2 linked regions of the Drosophila melanogaster genome follow. The protein of the gene in region 1 purifies or fractionates together with the protein of each later gene. This does not show direct contact. Each region holds a gene or a part of one and is shown in the gene's direction. Other genes may lie near its edges. The genes, in order: wuho and mei-P26.

What was found.
Region 2: the proteins of wuho (region 1) and mei-P26 purify together in Drosophila melanogaster (affinity purification with western blotting, with the first as the bait; one study listed by BioGRID). This does not show direct contact.

What each region holds. Positions count from the first base shown.
Region 1 is NC_004354.4:6,286,110-6,290,286, forward strand, and holds wuho (wuho), read left to right. Parts: upstream 1-1,990; 5' UTR 1,991-2,044; coding exon 2,045-3,319; 3' UTR 3,320-3,453; downstream 3,454-4,177. Other genes in the region: Top3beta (topoisomerase 3beta), read right to left, coding at 1-373, 713-1,460, 1,532-1,622; Rpt4 (regulatory particle triple-A ATPase 4), read right to left, coding at 3,510-3,612, 3,676-3,816, 3,946-4,177. UniProt on the Drosophila melanogaster protein: Required for the Mettl1-dependent formation of N(7)-methylguanine at position 46 (m7G46) in tRNA. In the Mettl1-wuho methyltransferase complex, it is required to stabilize and induce conformational changes of the catalytic subunit.
Region 2 is NC_004354.4:9,161,333-9,166,564, forward strand, and holds the start of mei-P26 (meiotic P26), read left to right. Parts: upstream 1-1,922; 5' UTR 1,923-2,066; intron 2,067-2,830; exon of another isoform or gene 2,831-3,002; intron 3,003-4,349; 5' UTR 4,350-5,127; intron 5,128-5,187; exon of another isoform or gene 5,188-5,202; 5' UTR 5,203-5,206; coding exon 5,207-5,232. Other genes in the region: Zpr1, read right to left, coding at 1-642; CG44532 (uncharacterized protein), read left to right, coding at 1,143-1,694.

The sequences.
Region 1 (4,177 bases):
GTAGACACGCCAGGTGTCGCGATCGAAGTCACTGCGGTTGCCCAGTTTCATTGGCGTGATGGGTGGATGGTCGCCGGCATCCTTGCCCTTTCGCGGCGTCTGAATGTCGCCCAAAATGGAGCGCGCCTCCTCACCGAAGTCCGCCGATGGCTTCAGCACGTGCAGCACGGCCGGCAGATCGAAGTTAGTCGGATACTGATTGGTCTCTGTTCGCGGATAGCTGATGTAGCCCTGCGTGTACAGGCGCTCAGCTATCTGCATCGCCTGGAAGGGTCCGATGCCCAGTCCGGAGCTGCAGATACGCATCAGTTCGACGGTGTTCAGTGCCTGTGGTTTGCTCTTGTAGGCCTCCTTGCTGGCCACGCTCTCCACACTGAAAAAAGAAAAGAGAGGAAGTGGTCACTAGATGGAAAGGGAAAAGATAGTCAATTCTTGGTGAGCTTTCTTAAATTCTGGGGATCAGCAGCATTTTGTTTGTTTGCATTCGTTATGAACACAAACAGAAATTATGCTAATTCGGCATGATTGCTTCTCTGGCAGATACATAGATGATGTAGGCACCAGATTTGGAAGGAATGGCGTAATGGGTGGAAAAAAAAGAGTCAGCTGTCTTTCGAGTGACCAAAAAGTGGTTATAAGCAAACGGAAAAGTGACGAAAGCATGCTTATTTATAGACTAGCCGTAGTGACAGCAGCCATGATTAGGTCTTACGTGGCCTTCTTGTGCTCCTTGACGCGATTCAGCAGCATGATGGCGATGTCCTTCTTGAAGACCCGACCGCGCGCCCATTCAAGCGTGACTTCCGGCTGGCCGGCGAGGAGCTGCAGATGCCAGAAGCTCTCCGGCTTAAAGGTCTGGATGTCGTCGTGCCGCTTCACGCAGAAACCGAGCGTGGGCGTCTGGCAGGGACCGTAGGAGATCAGCGACGAATCCAGGTCACCGTAGCGATCCTGAAAGAACTTCGTTTGAAAGCGGGTAAAGGCGCAGCCAATGCGCAGGTCCAATTCCTGCCGGGCGTCCACCGACTTGGCCTCGTTCTCGTTGGGATGCCCCAACGTCTCCATGGCTTTCTTGATGTCCTTCTCCGTGATAGCCGAGAAGTGGGCACGGTATGTCACCTGATCGCTGTACACATTGTTGATGACATGCTTCACGGCGTCCATCACCTCGAAGCAGATGTTCTCGCCCTCCTTGTCGCAATCCAGCCAGAGCACCAGATAGTCACAGCCGCGCGCCTCGTGGGCCAGAAATTTGCGCATGTTCTGCTTGGGATTCGTTTCCTTCTTTTCGGTGGCACAACCGAAGAGCTGGATGGGATCCACCTTGTCCCAGCAGTTGTACTTCTTATTGAAGTCCAGCGACATGACATGACCGCACACGGAAGTCATCCGGAAGTGGACGCTGCCCTCGTTCCGAAAGTTGCCCGTCCACTCGTGCGTGGAGCAGCCGTTGCCGGTGCCTGGAGAGGATTACATACAATTTCGGTTGCTTGCTGAGTTTGGGAGTTCGTGTTGATCTACTGGCACTTACCACGCTTGGCCGTGCAGCGTCCGTTTGAGAGAATCCCCGCCAGCGAGGCCGCCAGCGAGGGCTTCTCGGCCACCATCAGCACGCTCTTCATGGCCCAAATCCAAGTCCCGCAATCCAATGGCCTATATAATTGATGATGAGATTTTTGCAGCGCTTCCTCCTGCCCACTCGTTCACTCGCATGGGATTCGCCGGTTTCGTGCTGCACACACACTCACACAAACGCACACGCACAGCATAAACGCACACGAACACGGGCTAATGGATGAATTGGACTTCCTCGCTATACATCCGTATAATCCCCTCTATTTAACAAATTTCACGGGCATTATTTTCCAGCCAATAATACGGTCTCACTGCCGTTGGCAGCAACAGGGTCACACTACATTCTAACGAATGCATCAATTGGTCATACCGCAGCGTGCAGCCCTGGTGAGCAGATCTTATCGCTCGTCGATACCAGTAGTCAGTAGTTGTGCAAACCTATCGGTGGCTATCGAATCGAGTCGCAAGAATGTGCACAACAATTTCGTTCGCGGAACCCGAAATCGTGCTCGGCCATGGCCGCAGGGTGCTCTTCGTGAACCCCGACGACCTGCAGATATTCAAGGAGATCGAGCTGCCGCCCGACCTTGGCCTGAAAGGCCATACATCCCAGTCGCAGGAATCGTGTACAGCCGCAGCAGCCGCATCCACAGCCACAGCCGCATCCGGTCAGGCACCGGGTGGCAAGGAGCAACAGCTTGCCAATCAGCCAGAGGAGGGCGGAACCTCTGCCAGCGCCTCCGGTTTGGGATGTGCCACCAGCACATCGGTACAGAATGTGGCCTACTCGCCAGACGGACAGCTGCTGGCCGTGACCACCAGTGGAAAACAGAAAGCTCTCCTGCTCTATCGTTCACGGCCGGAGAACGCCCGCCTGCTCTCCGCCCGCCCACTGGCCCGGGCGTCCAGTGCCCTGCGCTTCTGCAGCGACAGCAGCTCCATTCTGGTCACAGACAAGACTGGCGATTGCTATCAGTACGACTGCGTTGAGGTGGAGGCTCCGCCGCGCCTGCTGTTGGGCCATTTAAGTGTGGTATACGACATCCTGTGGTCGGAGGACCAGCAGCATATCATCACCTGCGATCGGGATGATAAGATACGCGTGACCAACTATCCCGCCACCTTTGACATCCACAGCTATTGCCTGGGCCACAGGGAGTTTGTCTCAGGCCTGGCACTGCTCACGGAGCAGCATATCGCCTCCGCTTCGGGGGACAAGACCTTGCGCGTATGGAACTACATTCAGGGCAAAGAGCTGCTGCAGCACGAGCTACCAGCACCGGCGGTTCGTTTATTGGTACGCCAGCTGGAGCCGGAGAAGGTCTTCCAGGCGGCGGTGCTCTTCTACGAGCACGTGGACGCCCTGGGATTGTATCGCCTGGAGCGCAGCTCCGATGACACCTGGAGCGTGACGGCCACACAACTGGTTTGCGCCGAAGCGGGCTCATGGAGCATTAGCAACTTTACTTTAACCAGCGACCGGATCTACATCACCGGCGCAGAGAACGAACGCTTAAGCTTGCGCGTCTACGACATCGCAACTGGCCAGCCGGCGAGCAGCGGCGTGCCCGAGGGCTGGCTGAAGATGGTGCTAGACGGATTGGGTGCCAACGAGGAGGGCGCACCGCCATTCATTCCCGAGGACTTGTCCGTTTGGTTTAAGAAGCGCTTCGACAACGTTAGCGACTATTTGGAGCGCAAGAAGCGGCGCATCGAGGAGCAGCAGCAGCAGAAGTGCGGCTAATCCCCGGGCGCCCACATACCCAAAGGAAATTAAATGAACCTAATCTTTACATAGCATTTAATTAGCATATGGAGAAGAAGCAACGGACTTTGTGTGACAGGCCCGTTGTGGGCATAATATATATATATCTGTATATGTGTGTAAATGGTGTATGGTTATCTCTATGGGGGGCGGTGGCGAGCACTGGCTCCTAGACGGGCTTGTAGTCCAGCTTGCTCTCCAACTTCTTGTTGTCCGACACCTTGCGCACCGCCTTCATGAAGTCCTCCTGGATGACGTACTCCCGCTCCGCACTGGATTTGCAAGAATAGTTACATTTTAGGGAGCTTATCAAGCGGTGGAAACTTCGCACTTACCGAATGGCAAAGAGACCCGCCTCCGTGCAGACATTACGCAGATCAGCGCCATTAAAGTTGTCCGACAGCTTGACAATGGCCTCGTAGTCGATTTCGCCGTGCTTGGCGATCTTCAGTGCGTGAATCTTGAGAATTTCCAACCTAAAAGGAGTTGGGGTTTTACCATCAGTATGACAAAGTATGTAAGTATCTAATCTGAGAAATCCCTATTCATATTTCACCAAGAAGACATCAAAGATAAGAGCCAATCAATGTGGGAATATAGCTTACCTAGCCTGCTCGTTGGGCAGCGGAATCTCGATCTTCCTGTCCAAGCGACCCGGACGCAGAAGGGCAGGATCGAGGGTGTCCGGACGATTGGTTGCCATGATCATCTTGACTTGGCCAAGCGAATCGAAGCCGTCCATCTGGTTGAGCAGCTCCATCAGGGTGCGCTGGATCTCGCGATCGGCAGAGGTGCCCTCGGAGAAGCGCCGACCACCGATAGCGTCGATTTCGTCCA
Region 2 (5,232 bases), 2.9 Mb from region 1:
GAAGTACGAAGTCTTTAGCTGCGGATCGGCGGCAGGTGCCAGGGGATTCTCGATGAAACTATTGCCGGATATGTCCTCGAGAAGCACTTGAAAGGGTGTTGTCACCTCCTTTAGGCGGTGCAATCGCTCGATGTACTTTTCAATTGAAGCAGCTGTCTCCGGATGATCGATGCGCCGCTTCTCCTGATCCTGCGACAAGCCGGCTATCGTCCGCTCGATGATGCCTTCGACGGTGGTCACCTCGCCCTTCTGCGACTGCACCGGAATCTCTAGCTCGATCTCCGGTATGCTGATGCTGGAGTTATCCGAGCGCACCACGCGCCGATTGAGATCAGCCACGGATTGCACTCGCAGTTCGATGCGAATGCCGGACTTTTGGATCTCCGATGCCGACTGCATCTCGTTGTTGATGTGGCCGCAGTGGTCGCACTTGAAGGACATGAGCACCACCTCGCGAAAAAAGGGTATCTTGGTGGGCAGCAGCCGAGTGACTCCCGTTTCGAAGCAGTTCATGCAGGCGGATTCGACCTCCACTATCTCGTCGGTCTGCTCCGCATTGATTTCCCGGAAAATGGGCTCCGGCCGAATGTTCCCCGCACTCTCCGGCGGATTGCTACTGTTGGGGTCGCTCACGGTGGACATGATTTGATTGCTATCCACACGAAAGTTCCTGTTTAAGTGTGCTTTTTTAAATGAAATGTATATGTTTGGGGCGAAACGTGCAAGTTTAATCGATAGACGCTGACGATAAGTGTCGATAGTCGTCGTGTGACCGGCTTGCATATGCTTAAAACTCCTTAAATACCCAGAAGTGTGCTCGGCGCGTTGATCTTAAACGCTCGAGAATTTACTCGTGTTCGATAGAAAATTCCCCGAAATAAAAAGGTGCACAAATAAATTTAAGAGCTTACCTGTAGCGGTACACGGTAAGGCCATAAAACAAAAACTGATTGGCCATCTGCATATTAATCTGGGAATACCACCTACCTGACACACGTTCTTCCTAAAATTACCTGCGCTTTCAGAAATAACTGGAGTCCTTTTGTAGAGCGACAATTCAAGGCAGTACAAAAAGAGCCAAGCTTAGAGTATCATTGAATTGTTGATATTCCTGTTACCATTTTAAGAGACTTTCAATTAAGATGGCCGGATCGTCGAGCATTAGTGCGCTGTTGGCCGAGCAAATGAATTTGGGCGAGAAGATTCAAAGCATTATTCGCAATTATAAAAAGGCTCCGGCTCAACGGAAATCTAAACCTGGATATTTTGAAGGGCGACTATCCAAATTGCAAAGCTTGTGGGATGCATTTTCCAAAGGGGAAAATACTATTAAAACTCGCAACGAAAAGACGCAAATGGAACATACATACTTTAAAAACAACTTCTTTGTCAAAATAAAGACTTTGGTAGTTGAATATACATCAGAATTCAATCGAAAACTGCACGCATCGGAAAATGATACTGAAAACGTGCACGCATCGGAATTGGATACTAAACACGTGCCCGCATCGCAGCAGAATTCTGAAGATCAATTCAATTCTATGCTTAGAGAGCATCGGATATTGATGGACAGATTGGATAATATTATAAACGAGTTGGAATGCGTGACAAGGAATGGGATTAATCCCATCATTTTACCCTATTTAACTGATATGCAAAATATGCATGCGGAAATGAGTCAAACTGACATTTAAATGTAATGTAACATGTAATAATAAAGCGTATTTTGTGTTATTATTTAAATATATATATATATAATTATATTATACTTATTAAAGATGTAAGCTTTGCGGAATGAAAACTTAAAATAAATATTTGGCGACCGATACGCGTTTATTCAATATAACTATCGATATCAGGGCATCGCTTTTCAAAAACTATCGATACGTGGCTGTGCTGAAATATATATCTATCATCCCTAGCTGCACTGCATACAAAAGTTCGACGGGAGCAGTAAAGTAATTATTTGTTTAATCCAATAATTATCGACTCCAATCAAATTGGCGGTCTTCTGGTTGTTTTTAATGTCCCAGAACGTGCTAAATTCGCTGAATCAGTGAATAACGGTAACTGTAGATATAACTGCCTGTGGTGTGTAGTGTTCTCTTGTGTTCCTGCGTGTAGGCGTTTGTGTGGGACGGGCAAATATAAAATCGTAACGTAACAAGCAAAAGAGAGCAGCAAAAAACAAAAAGAACCAACAAAAAAACGTGTGAAAACGAAAACTACATTTAAATATAAGGTGGTGACAGTTGCGAAAAAGCAGTTAGCAGTTTAAATTGGACAGTAAAAGCTGACAACGCCGGACAGACAGTGAAGTGTTCAGGCATTTCAAGGACCTTTTTCGCCTCCTGTCTGCTGTTCGGTTTGTGAGAGTGTGTGTGTATGCATGTGCAGGCGTGTGTGTTGAGTGCCTTTTGACCACGACCACCTGGGCGGTAGTCAAGTGGAAATTTTGCGTTCAAGGACAACGGCAGTGCCCCCCCTTGTCGATTGTCACCCCGCGACCCCGTCGAGAGTTGTCTTAGCCACCACCCGCGCCCCCCAACTAAAACTTTTAAATCGACGACAGTTCGTCCGGTCGGTCAAGAATAGTGTTTATTCCGAAATCGAAAAAGGGAATTCAGTTTTAATTTCACATGGTGTGTGTGTGTGTTTTTTTTTGTATTCTGTATGTGTGGGTGCCGTTTTTCGTATTCGTATTTCATTTTTTGCCGCGTTGAGTGAGCTTGCGCACACCAATACGAACGAAATTGAGAACTTTTCTTCGCATAACCGATTTTTCGCTCTCTCTCTCTCTCAATCGCTTATCGCTCCTCTTCTATCTCTTTCGCAGCCCAGCCAGCGCTGCACTCGAAAATAACCGTTTGCGAGTAGCAAGAGAGAGAGCGGCACACATTTAAAAGTGAAATAAATCAAAAAGTACGTGGAAATGGACAAGAAAATATCAGCTGCGGCGCAGAATTGACAAAGTCGATAGGGGGACCAACAAAATCATCCAGGTCCGATAAAGCAAAGCAAAATAAAACAGAACAGTGAAAAAAAGGGGCAAAGCAGCGGTACTAAATTCCGTTTACCACGTGTGTTCGCTTGTAGGCGCTTGTGTCTGTGTGTATGCAGCTGATTCGGCATGTGGGTGTTTGGTTGCGAGTGTTTGGAGGGGGCACAAAACTAAAGTAGATTTTAAACTACCGCTCACTTCCGCTGATTTAAACGTATTTATTTAGGCAATTGCCTTGCCCCAATTGAATTAGTTGTTCAAGGACTTTGTGCCCCAGCTTGTCCTTGTTAGGGCAGCTATTTTTTTGCGCAGCTAGCGGATAAATGGCTAGAAAGGTCATCACTATGAACGCGCCTGCGTGAACGGGTAGCAAAAGCAGGAAGCAGGAGTAAAGAAGAGCTTGATGTGTGTGTGTGTGTGTGTGTGTGTGGCGCATAGCTACACATAACGGAGAAAAACGTAACGTAAACTTAACGCAAAAGGGAACCGATACTACCACCCCCTTCCCCACTCTCTCCATTAGTGGCCTAACATAGACATTAATTGGATAACCTACGATCGGATAAACATTCAATGCACGAAATCTATGTTGCTAGTTCTTATCCTTTCCCATTAAACTCTCAAAACGGCATTATTCCATTCCATCCTGGTAGCTCTTGCCGGCTATATTAATTCAAATTCGATTTCATGGGAAAGCGTTATACAAATGCCAAGCGTTTTGAATTGGACTACGCCTAAGGTCCCGTCGCAGTCGAATTGGAAGAAGGCAACAATTCTTGTCAGATGATGACATAAAATTATAGATATAGATATAGATAGATATAGATATTTCACTAAATAACACAATTTTGGTAATCAATAAAAAGTTTTCAAACCTAATCATATTTTTATTATTTTTTTTACTTAACTGACTTAGGACTTCAAAATGAATAAGAAAATTATTACCTATTGTATATCAATAAGAATCGCATTTCCAATTCTTGCTGAGTTACGTTAATTTTGAAATTAGATTTATCTGAAAAATGGCCAATATACTTTGCTAACATCCGGAAAGTATGCAGCAGAGTGTGTGAGTGTGTGTGTGCTGTTGCAAAAGCCAGAGGCGTTTTAAAGGGGGTTGCACTGCGTATGGAAAGGGTAAAAAAGAAATGTTTCATTTGATTTAATGCCAAATTCCCTTTCTCCATATGTCAGTAAGGTTCATCTATATTTGATATATTTTGTTCTGCGTTACAGAATTTATATTTCTGTTTTAGTTTTATATTTATTAATTTGTACATTTTTGTAAATTTCTAGCCACCGATTAACGTGATTTTTGTATCCATTGTTCTTTTTTAAATACCAAAAGGAGCGGCGCTGTCGTCCAATTTGCATCGCCGTGTTCTTCGTCAGTGTTTGTTGTCGTCTCCTCGTTCGTCCTTAATTTTATTTCGTCCTTGTGCAACAAGAAGAAGCAAAAGAACAGCCACATCAAACAGGAGGAGGATCACTGCAATACACAGTTTCCAAATGCTTTAAAAATATTCGGCAATATCTAAATATCTAGAAAAGTAAGACAAGCAGCGAATCAGCAACAACAATCGAAAACACCAAACAAAAACCAAAAAACTAAGATAAGCCGAAAGCCGAAGGAGGCTCGCAAATTTGTTTACAAATTTGCAATACATTTTAAGTAAGCGGAGGAGAAGAAGGGGTGTTTGTTGCGCATCAGTGTGTGTGTGTGTGCGTGCGCGTGGATTGTATAGGTCCTTCGCTCATTTTTACCCCGACGAAACGAACTATTGTTGGCCTTTTCTTGCGGCAATAGAAGGGACCTCAATTGGAATGGCCCTCGTGGGAGAGCGGAGGGACATTAGGGAGCAGCAGAAGTAGCAGCAGCAGCAGCAGCAGCAGCAGGATTAGGATCAGGAATAGGATCAGGAATAGGATCAGCAGCAAATGCAAGCAAGCGCAAAGGACTAGAAAAGCAAGCAGCGACCAGAATTTAGGAGCCAGGAAATACGGAATTGCAATCAGGAAACAGGAACGGGAACGGGAAAAGCAGCCCAAAAACAATAAAACAAAAGGAATCCATTGAATCGACAAAAGACAAGAACTTGTTGTATCAGAGCAGCGCCAAAAGAAAGGTGAGTAGTAGTTATTCAAGAATAATATTCGGCTTTACTGGTATTCCTGATCAATCAAAGTTAACTTGTTTGTAGGACAATGACTACTTTGGAGGAGCCTGTCCA